Canis lupus familiaris: one gene and its partners. The main gene of each other region encodes a partner of the protein of the gene in region 3 in a complex. Links are inferred from orthologs where the notes say so. Each region holds a gene or a part of one and is shown on either strand. Other genes may lie near its edges. The genes, in order: ARHGEF12, SEMA4D and PLXNB1.

The links.
Region 1: the proteins of PLXNB1 (region 3) and ARHGEF12 are in contact, whole or in part, in an NMR structure (PDB 2OS6), measured with the Homo sapiens proteins. The link is inferred for Canis lupus familiaris from reciprocal best matches to the Homo sapiens genes PLXNB1 and ARHGEF12. Residues at the interface, in NP_001123554.1 of Homo sapiens: Glu2129, Lys2131, Val2132, Thr2133, Asp2134, Leu2135; in NP_056128.1 of Homo sapiens: Phe82, Gly83, Leu84, Thr85, Val86, Ser87, Gly88, Asp89, His127, Val131, Lys135.
Region 2: the proteins of PLXNB1 (region 3) and SEMA4D are in contact, whole or in part, in a crystal structure (PDB 3OL2), measured with the Homo sapiens proteins. The link is inferred for Canis lupus familiaris from reciprocal best matches to the Homo sapiens genes PLXNB1 and SEMA4D. Residues at the interface, in NP_001123554.1 of Homo sapiens: Leu80, Pro81, Pro82, Glu87, Arg136, Pro137, Gly138, Asp139, Thr140, Tyr142, Gly178, Glu202, Lys205, Ala207, Gly209, Arg210, Ser212, Glu213, Arg235, Arg242, Asp359, Val360, Asn361, Ser362, Leu367, Pro368, Thr371, Tyr375, Ser379, Asp380; in NP_001358123.1 of Homo sapiens: Glu99, Lys100, Gly101, Phe158, Tyr179, Phe181, Leu182, Gly183, Ser184, Arg198, Tyr201, Ile203, Glu208, Val240, Leu264, Arg265, Thr266, Leu267, Gln268, Lys270, Thr347, Gln350, Ser351, His352, Thr353, Asp388, Gln392, Lys395.

Annotation. Positions count from the first base shown.
Region 1 is NC_049226.1:13,554,670-13,558,317, forward strand, and holds part of ARHGEF12 (rho guanine nucleotide exchange factor 12), read right to left. Parts: intron 2,614-3,648; coding exon 2,538-2,613; intron 2,010-2,537; coding exon 1,842-2,009; intron 999-1,841; coding exon 911-998; intron 410-910; coding exon 323-409; intron 189-322; coding exon 109-188; intron 1-108. UniProt on the Homo sapiens protein: May play a role in the regulation of RhoA GTPase by guanine nucleotide-binding alpha-12 (GNA12) and alpha-13 (GNA13). Acts as guanine nucleotide exchange factor (GEF) for RhoA GTPase and may act as GTPase-activating protein (GAP) for GNA12 and GNA13.
Region 2 is NC_049222.1:97,582,622-97,585,320, forward strand, and holds part of SEMA4D (semaphorin-4D), read left to right. Parts: intron 1-1,538; coding exon 1,539-1,711; intron 1,712-1,790; coding exon 1,791-1,834; intron 1,835-2,599; coding exon 2,600-2,699. UniProt on the Homo sapiens protein: Cell surface receptor for PLXNB1 and PLXNB2 that plays an important role in cell-cell signaling. Regulates GABAergic synapse development. Promotes the development of inhibitory synapses in a PLXNB1-dependent manner.
Region 3 is NC_049241.1:41,080,429-41,084,076, reverse strand, and holds part of PLXNB1 (plexin-B1), read right to left. Parts: intron 3,403-3,648; coding exon 3,297-3,402; intron 3,155-3,296; coding exon 3,018-3,154; intron 2,732-3,017; coding exon 2,555-2,731; intron 2,374-2,554; coding exon 2,202-2,373; intron 2,018-2,201; coding exon 1,775-2,017; intron 1,038-1,774; coding exon 861-1,037; intron 784-860; coding exon 635-783; intron 146-634; coding exon 45-145; intron 1-44. UniProt on the Homo sapiens protein: Receptor for SEMA4D. Plays a role in GABAergic synapse development. Mediates SEMA4A- and SEMA4D-dependent inhibitory synapse development. Plays a role in RHOA activation and subsequent changes of the actin cytoskeleton.

The DNA of each region.
Region 1 (3,648 bases), on a different chromosome or scaffold from region 3:
ATAGCTGATGTGAGAACTGCATAAACCAAAAGACTTAAAGTTTCTTTGCATTTTAATAAGTAATGTATAGACTACATTCTTCCAGGTAAACCTAATGGATCAGTTTACCTGGACTCTGCAAACCAGGGACTGAAATGCTATGATGTTCCACTTTTAACTTTGGAGCTGCTTCTTCATCGTTGTCTCCTCTGTACAAGAAAGAAAACAATCTTTCAGCTTCAAGAGATGCCCAAACATCACTGCAGTGAAAGGTAAGGATCATCCGTTCCTTTCCTGATCAAAACACAGAGTCAGTCCTACTACAACGCAAATGCACACTCACTCGCAAGGTGGTGACTGTGGCAATGGGATTGGCTTTGCGGACTGTTCCTTCACTGATGCAGCCATCCGACAGATTAGGTCTTGCCAGCTGCAGGAAGTGTGAAAAGGATCCAAAATCCAAAAGGGAAAGGAAAAAAAAATGCCCTTTAAATATACACTCAGAAAGAAATAATAACAAAAACAAACCAGAAACCAAACCAAGCCAATCCAACAAAAAAACTCTATTTCCACCAGAGAGTGTCTTTATTTTGGCAACATTAGGTAGAGATGATAAAAAACACTGGACCTTCAAGAAAAACCTAAGCAAACAATGTTATGGATACAGCACGCATTAAAAACCTTTGCTTGATGCTTCTGAGAATTGTTCTTTAGAAAAGATACTTTCAATAGCATAGCGCTAAAACAAGGGACATCAATCTTGAGAGGACCACGTTCTTAGACAGTATCTCTTAAAAAATATAGAGGAAGTGGTTTTTTCAATATAGTTTTTGGTTCCCGAAGTATTACAAAAACCAAGTTTATAGAATGTTATATTCTATATATCTATAACAAAAACTATTAGAGCAAGGTAGCTGTATCTAATACATACACAGTCTTTTCAGAAACAGTCTGTGCCACCAGTTCATAAATCTGGGCTCCATTGTCTGACATGGAGATGACAAATAAAGCTTTGTTATCTGGAAGAAACAAGACAAAAATTACTCTCACAACATGGATATGACCTACAGAAGCCGTGAAGGATACTTCTCGGGTCCTGGTTTATTCTGCATCTTAATCTGGGTAAAGGTTAATGTGCTCACTTTGTAAAAATTCATCAAGCTATAAAGTTAAAATTTGTGTAACTTATCATATGTTACATTGTCTATGTTATACTCCAATAAAACAAAGATCCTAAAAACTAGCCCGGGTTCCACATAGAAACAAGGAGGTGTACATACATCTGAATTACTCAACACGATGACATTTTTGCATTTATTTTGAATTGCCCTGTTGCTAAATTGTTAATTAATGAAATTTAGTAAATGATGAAGAAAAGAGGTCGTCAGCTTATCTTGCCACTATGGAACTGACAAGTTTGAAAAGGGATCCCACTGTTACTACGGTTAATGTATAATTTGCTAACTTAAACTGATTTCAAAAAACCCAAACTACACCCACCTCTCTGTTTTTGTTTGCTCTTTTACCACAAATCAAAAAGCATACCACTCTCATGTAACTCTTTTCATTGGGATTATCCCTCAATTCACCATCTTCCGTGGTAGTCTGTCAATGATGTGAACATGGACTAAAGATTAAAGCGGTATGCAGGAAATTTTCAAGAGCAGAAAATTGCTCAGAGAATCTAGGCACCCCAAAGAATTTGGGGGTAGAAACTCTTTAAGTAGTAACCAAATTTCATTTCATTTGTTTAAGAATGAAACAGAAACTCTCTACCAGCTGGGCTGTTTAAACAATACCAAGGATCTCATGCAACTTTATGATGAACCTGAAAGCTACTGTCACTCTGTGGACATACTTGCCTGTTGCCACTTGTCGAACCAACACTGTATTCAACTTAATGACAGGGCTAAATGTGTGTTTGCTGTCAGCCGTGGATGCCAGAATCTTACTATGACATCTTAACACCAGTCTATCATCCTGCTTTTGTAACAATACAAGAATGTCTTCCAGCAGCAATGTGTATAGATCTGGAAACCAAAATGTAGAGAAGGTGATTAGTGTAGAAACTGAGATGTGTTTTATAAACTTTGTAACAATTTGACAGAGAAAATTTATTTCTGTTAAAGCTAATACATTTAAAAAATTGACTTGCTATTGTCTTTTTTAGTTCCATTTTTTAATAATTCATTTTTATATTGTATCGCACCAAAGCGTCAGTCGGTGACTGACAAGAAATTAAAAAAAAGCCACCATGATTCCTCAGCATAGATAGTTTGAAATGGAGTGGTTTAAAGAAAGCTTATTAGAGAGCTCATTAGAATACAAGAATGATGGAGACATGACTGAATCATGACAAATTTTTCTGCTTTTCCCCCTCAGTGAACATTTAATGTACTTCACCTATAAAGAAATACCATAAGCAGATCTGCAAATATAACACAGGGCAGCACTGCTCACTGCTGTTGCCAAAATCTGTGAACGGTTGTTTCTTCTCTTTGGCCCAAAGGAACTTTAATTTCTCCACTCTCCGTAAAACTGACAGACACGATACCTACCAATAGTTTTATCTCGATTCACCTTCCAGACCAATGGCCCTTCATGAATCATCTTCCTTTTCGTTAAATCCAAATTCTGCCAAAATAAAGAGAATTACACACAAATTATTTCCAAGCTCTGAGACGATATGCCATAGAGTCTCTTTTCAATAAATTCTTTATATAAAAGATACCATTTACCTTCACTATCATTATTGGTATTTGCGAACTGCTGAACATGGAATAAAGATCAAGTTACAGTAAGCTGCATACAATTTCCTAAAAAATTAGAGGTATCTTGAAAAACATTCAGAGGACTGCCTTCCAAGTCTCACAATAAATATATGATAATTGCTTATGAAAATGAAGTTGCAAGCATTCAGCCACTGGATTTGCAGCCCATCTAATTATTCTATGAATAGCTAGATGAGGATGATGCATAGTTTATCTATCTGTAAGAGGCCTGTGAGTGCCAGGCTCTAGTTCCAAACAAAGTTCTAAGGAACAGTACTCATGAAAAAGTCCAAGTAGTACTTGATCTTGCTCTAAATATTAATAATTTATTTTATCAAAAGATTCATTCGTTCGTTCATTCATTCATTCATTCATTCATTCATTTAAGGGAGGGAAGGGTAGAGGGAGAGAGAGAATTCCAAGCATACTCCCTGCTGAGCATGGAGCCCAATGTGGGACCCTGAGATCATGGCCTGAGCTGAAAATCGAGAGTCGGACACTTAACCAACTGAGCCACCCAGGCACTCCTACTAAATATTAATAATTTAGTAAGAAAATCAGCCCTTAGTATAGGTAGCTCTAGAAAAATCTCATCCTCTGGAAGTGAAGGCTAAGCGTATTAAGCGTGCTTTTTGATAAGCTGCTCTCTGTGATACAAGTCTAGTCTACCAGCCACCAAATACAATTTGCAAAAGCAACCCCCTACTGAAAGAGCACAAGAAAGAAAATCCTAAGCAGTTCCTTAATACAAAAGCCTCATGTAATAGAAATGGCAATTACAAAATTTTTTACTATCATTCCCATAATGATTTCAACACTCATGCTTTTGAAGAGTTTCATGAAAAAATTATCTTGTTTTACTCAATAATCTGTTAAGTTCCCAGAGTGAACACCCCTA
Region 2 (2,699 bases), on a different chromosome or scaffold from region 3:
CACCCCGGGTTTCCTCGTGATTGGATGGGGTTGAGGGTTTGGGGACGTGACGTGAGCGAGGACAGTGCTGGCCAGCGAGGCCGGGCAGGGGTGAGGCCCCAGTGCCCATGGGCAGACATACTGTGAAGCCGTGGACCTGCACTCCACCCTATGGTGACGGATGCTTGCTCGTGGGGGAGACCTCAAGGCTGCTGGGTGTCAGTCCCTCCTGCCCACGGGCTTCTGCACCTGCCAATGGTCTCAGCCACCCCCCGCCACTGTTTGCCTGTTTCCTTCTCTCAGAATCTGTTACTCCGTGGCTCTGGGTCACGGAAGCCCAGCCCTGGGGACGGGGGTGCAGGGACATGAGCGCCCCATCCCCCCATGCCCACAGCCACACACTCAGGTCTGGTGTCAGCTGGGGCTTCCGGGCAGTCTGTGCCCTCCAGGGTCCCTCAAGGTTGCCTGCTTGGCCTTCCCAGGAACCCTCTCCTCTGCAAGCCACGTGACCCCGAGAGGGGTCTGGGGTGGCATCCTCAGTCCTTTCAGCAACCATGTGGCCTCCTCTGCCTGGGCCCCACCAACAGGGATGGGCTAGCCCCCAGGCCTGGCTCTCTCTGCCCCTTCTGACCAGAGGACAGTCTGCTGTGGAGGGGACTTCTTGGCTATACTCACACAGGGTGCGTCACAGGCCAGGAGCGCCAGCTGGACGCTGCTGTTAATTCCCTGTCTCCCCCCGGGGAAGGCTGCAACTCGTTTGGGTCTGAAACACTGACTTCTGCTGGGTTCTGTTAACCCTGAGGTTAACCAGAAGATCTGTGTGGGGTCGGGGGAGACGGGCTCACCGGCGGAGGAGACCGTGGACACACATGCAGAATTGCAGCCCTGCAGCATGGCTGTGCCAGGAGGGGTCCCCGCTGTGTCCAGGGGAGCAATTAGCCACCTGGGGGGCCTGGCTCTCTGAGGGGCCAGCCGTCAGCCTCCCTGTCTGCGTGCTCCTCCCTCGCAAACCTGGCTGGTCCCTTAATCCTCGTGCTGGAGTTCTGCATGTCCCCCACCACTCTCTGGCGCCTCCTTTCCTGGCCCCGCTGGATTCGGACACTACTGGGCTGTCCGTGCACAGCTGCTCAAGCCAGGCAGGCCTGGGATTGGGCTCCGAGTTGTACCCTTTGGCCTCTGTCCTGTCGCGGGGCCAGGAGTGTCCCACTGGAGGAGCCCCATCCACACAGAGGAGCTGACCCCCAGCCCTAGTGGGGCAGAGACACGTCCACACTGGCACCCAGACGGGAGGGCTGGGGGGTTCTGGGGGGGCCTGTGACCAAGGCCCCGAGTGCCGAGTTAGCGAGGACTCTGCTGAAGAGCACGCGGCCTCTGCGGGCTTGAGGTGCTGCTGTTGGGATTGGCCTTGGAGTAGCCCGGCTGAGCTCCGGTTCTGGAAGCTCCTGGATGAGGGATCGCGGGAACGTGCTTGCCACAGCCGGCGAGGTGGAGAAGCACCTGCCACCAAGCGCATGAATGCCACCCCTCATGCGCCTGTCCCCTCTGTCTCCCCCGTGCAGGGCAAGAGATTTGTGTACGCGGGTTCCAGCTCGGGTGTGGTGCAGGCCCCCGTGGCCTTCTGCGGGAAGCACGGGAGCTGCGAGGACTGCGTGCTGGCCCGCGACCCCTACTGCGCCTGGAGCCGTGCCGCCGAGGCCTGCGTGGACCTGCACCGGACAGACAGCCCCAGCAGGTACCGGGGGCGCGCGTGCCGGCCACCCGCCCTGCCCGCGGGGAAGGCGCGTGAGTGACCGTGCCCGCTTGCCTTGCAGGACTTTGGTTCAGCAGATGAGCGGTGACACGTCCGTCTGCCCCAGTAAGTGGCCCCTCCTCGCTGTGCTGCTCGGGGGCGGCCGGGTCTCGTGATCGTGTCGTGGTGCTGTGCTGTTGTGGCATCTCGTACATTCTTTTTTCCTTTCTCTACTTGGAACAGAGGGCACGTATCCATGAGGATACAGAGGCCGACCCCGCCAGCCCCTCTGGTTGCAGCCACGTAGTGCGTTCACTGGAAGGTGCTCGGCGTCCAACCTGTGACATCCAGTCTTGAGACGCTCCTCTCTCCCGCTTAGCTTGGGGCTGCTGACACAACCCTGAGGGTCCCGGGAGGGGCAGCGGGAGGCGTCCTCGTCCCCTCGGCGATGCCCCTGCCGGCCGGGGGGTCAGGCACATCCCTTGGTCTCCTGGAAGGCAGCCGTGCCCTGGGCTGTCACGCTCCTGATGTGGACTCGACAGCGGGGCAGCCTCAGGAGGATGCTGGGCCACTGAGAGTCCACGGGCCCCGGAGCCGTTGGCAGGAGCGCGGCGTGTGACTCCGCGTGTCGCCGCACGGCCTCGCAGGGCACCAGATGGGATCTCTGTACCCGGTTGCTCCCGAGTTCCTCATCCCCTGGGGCTGCCATCTGGGGCTCATCTCTGCTCTTCTGTCACGCATGTCTTTATCTCCTTAGTTGTTCTGGAAGATTCTGTGTTGCTCTAGTGGGTGAAACTCTTGTGTTCTCTTGTGCGTGTTGACCTATCTTTGAAAGAAGGGAAGTAGCGGGCCGGGTTGTTGACACTGTGCACGTTTATTTTGGTGTTCCAGATGAAACTAAAAGTTTCCGGGAGCATTTTTTCAAGCACGGCGGCACAGCAGAACTGAAATGCTCCCAAAAGTCGAACCTGGCCCGGGTGGTGTGGACGTT
Region 3 (3,648 bases):
GCAGAGCCCCGGAGGGTGCTCAGGCCCATTGCCGGCGGCCTCACCTGTGAACTCCTTCTTGCAGCGGTCCCGCACACTGCTCTCCAGATTCTCCAGCTGGATCTGGACCTTCTTATAGTCCCTCAGGGCCTGCTTGCTCTTCCTCCTGCTCAGCACCAAGGTTAGGAAGGGGGAGGCCAGACAAGGCCAGAGCCCTTTCTGGTGCCCCTGGCCCAGGCCTATCTACCCCAGCCTCACCCTGGACCAGGCTGATACCGTCCAACATGGCCATGCCCAGCCAAGCCAAGACTTAGCCCAAAAATAATTTAGACTGTCCTGTCCTGGGCAAGTCACACCCTCTCCGCAGGCTAGCCCCGGGGTTAGCCTAGAAATCAAGGAACTACAACCAGGCCAAATCCGGCCCACGGCCTGTTTCTGCAAAGATTTGTTGGCACACGGCCACATTCGTGTGTTTACATATCGTCTATAGCTGCTTCTGCATGCTTAACAGCAGAGCTGAGCCACTGAGGCCACTCAGCCCACAAAGCCTAAAATTGGTACCCTCTGGGACTTTACAGGCAATGTGTTTATTGACCCCTGGCCTAGTCTCCCCTTCCCATCCAGCCTCAGCCCAGCCACATCCAGCTGCACCCACCTGTATATGAGGACAATGATGATGACACCCAGAGCCAGAAGAGAGGTGCCCACCCCCAAGCCCACCTGGGCTGCCATGGGAAAAGCCACAGGGCTCTCGCCATCATACTGCACATGGCCCAGGGAAAAGCGCAGGTTTCCCATCTGCACCTACACAGGAAGGCACCTGTGAGTAAGGTTTCAGCACGTGCCCAGTGCCTGGCCCAGCCCACAGCCCACCTACTGACCGTGAACTCAGGCAAGGCGTCCGGTGCCTCTCGAAGGGCATGGTGCTGGGGCAGGGGCTGCTCCATGGGGGGCTCACAGTATAGGTGGTGACGGGTCAGCGTCTTCACCACGCAGAGGCCATCCCCTATCATGGCCACCACCTCCTCCTTAGACATTGCAAGGTCCAGATTCTCCCCCTGGAACACGAGGTCACTGATGGATCACTCAGAACTCTTCCCTAAGGGGAGTTGCTGGTGGTCACTCAGATCCTTTCCCCCTAAATGTGGGAAGGATGGTCCTGACACCCATCCCTAGGGGCAGGGCTGATGGTGCCTCAGCACCTCTTCCCCTGCATGAGAGGTGACAGTCCATGGGTATCTTCCAAGCTGTCCCCTGACCCTCCTCTGCCCTTCCCATCCTCCTGCCTCACACTTTTACTTCTCCAGAGCTAAAAATCCAGACAGTTATAGTTGCCCCCGAATCCCGCCCAGTTACCTCACAAAGCCAGATCCCCTGCTGTGTCTGCTGGCCCACCCGGTGCATGATGATGGGTTTCAGAATGCCCACCTACTATATGTGTCAGAATCCATGCCAACTGTTTGTCCACATTGAGTCAAGCTGCCAAATGGGCATTAGCCCAGGCGCCTACTGTGTACCGTGCCACCCAGCTACTACGTGTGCCAAACCATCTACATGCAGCCATTCAGACTCCTGCCACAGAGTGTGCTGGGACCCAGGCTACAGGACCCAAGCCCCGGGCAGATGTGTCAGGCTGGGCAGCCCACCACTGGTCCCTTAGCCCTCACCACATTAAGGGTAAGGAGCCAGGTCCATGCACAGGTCCTTGCTCTGCTGTCATGCCCCTACACACAGCAGTAGTGCCCAGCAAAGTGAAGGGTCATGTGGCCCCACCACGTGTGAGCAGGAACAGTACCTCCACAGACAGCACACTCCCGGGCTTGTGCCGGAACGGCATGGTGGGATCCTCGGGGTTGAGGGGCTGCAGAGTGGGGTCGGCCTCATAGGAGAAGGGTGTGGGGTTCAGCATTGCGAAGTCAAAGACCAGATTATCAAGGATAAATTCCACCTGGACCCAGGGGTCCTCAGGCAGGCCTGGGAGGGCAGGCGTGTGGCACATGATGAGCTGAGAGGAATTCACATGGCACGGCTCCTCAAACTGGGGCAGAGGGAGGAAAAACGGGGGAGGATCAGTTGAGAGCCATGTAGGAAGGAGGTCACGCAAAGACTGAAGGATAGCCTCTTTGGTACCCGCCAACCATGGCTGTGCACAGGGTGGCATGTGGGGTGATGTGGGTGATGGCCAGCCCAGTGCACATGGGGGATGCCCACGGATATCCTACATGATGACCGCCACAGGAACCACCGGGGGAGCATGCGGTTTCCGGGATCACACGGCGCCTCCGCCCAAGCCCCTGGTAAGGCTGCAGGGTTCTTGGGGCCACAGTCACTCGGATTCTTGGTGTCTGGACCGCATCCAAATTCTGGCCATGGACCCATACCTTACGTCCTCCACTGCAACACAGACCATGACCCATGGGTGGCTAGGAGAACCAGGCTAGCCCAGCCCCAAGCCACATGCCCCCCACTCCCAGTACCATAGGAGTCAAGCCTCCATAGAAAGCTCCGCAACCTCCCCACATCCTAGAGCTGCAGCCCCAGTACATGTCATGCAGCCATGCCCTTGGCCCAGCACCTGAGGAAGCTCTTGGCAGGGCCAGCAGAGGTGACATTGGGGTTTGACGTGTACTCGAATTGGCTATACAGAAGCCTCCGCTCAGTGGCCCCAAACCACACGGCCACAGGGAGTGTGGCAGGTACAGGGTATGGGCTGGTCTCACACCGCAGCTGCTCAGCCTGCTGCTCCAGGAGCCTAGGGCAGGGAGGGACGAATGGAAGGCAGGGCCAGGAAGGGGAAACAGAAGATTCTGGGCCACAGGACCCACTCAGACCTCAGCTTACTTCCCTCAGCTGACTGAAAGCTCCATAGGTGAGCTTGGAGGCCACATTCCCATGACAGCCCCAGCTTAGAAAGGGTCTGGCCTCTTTCCGACAGAGTAGACCTGGCCCTCTCCCCTCTCTGTTCTCCCCAGCATCCCACCCCTCTGTCTTCTTCCTAGAGCACATGGATTTTGGCAGAATGAGGAAGCAGCCCTCACAGGTGACAAGGCTGATCTCCAATGACTACTCTGATGTCCTCCAGCCGCCCAGTCAGGAGCTTGGAGCCGTGCAGGGTAAGGTGGGTGCCCCCGGCTCTGGGGCCCCGGGTCGGGAAGATGGAATGCACCTTTGGGTCCTGTGGGAAGTGGAACAGGGAGAGACAGCCAAACATGAAGCCACCAACAGAGAGGCAGGAGTAGCCTGGGGCAGACAAGAAGGCCTTAGAGTAGGAAAGCCCAGGAAGGCAAAACTAGATGCACTGAGGAAAGCTACTTCACCTGGTAGGCAAAATCGTGCTCTGAGACACCGCGTCCTCTTCCTGGCACCTCCACCGTCACTGCCCCAGCCACCTCCCCATCACTGGCCTCAGTGATACACACGAAGCTGTGGGCACAGGGCAGGCTGGGGTGCCAGGCTGCACCAAGGGCCCCTCCAACTGACCGGCTGCTCCCTCCCTGCCCTACTAAATCACGTGTTCTTCCCACTCCCAAGGTTGACAGAGACCTTCTTGCGTTGGAGGAAATTCTTTATGGCACACCAGAGGGCTTTGGCATCTAAGAATTAACATTCATAGTTTCAACCATCCAAGTCCAACCCTAAAGCCCTCTAACAAAGAGGACTTTACCTCTC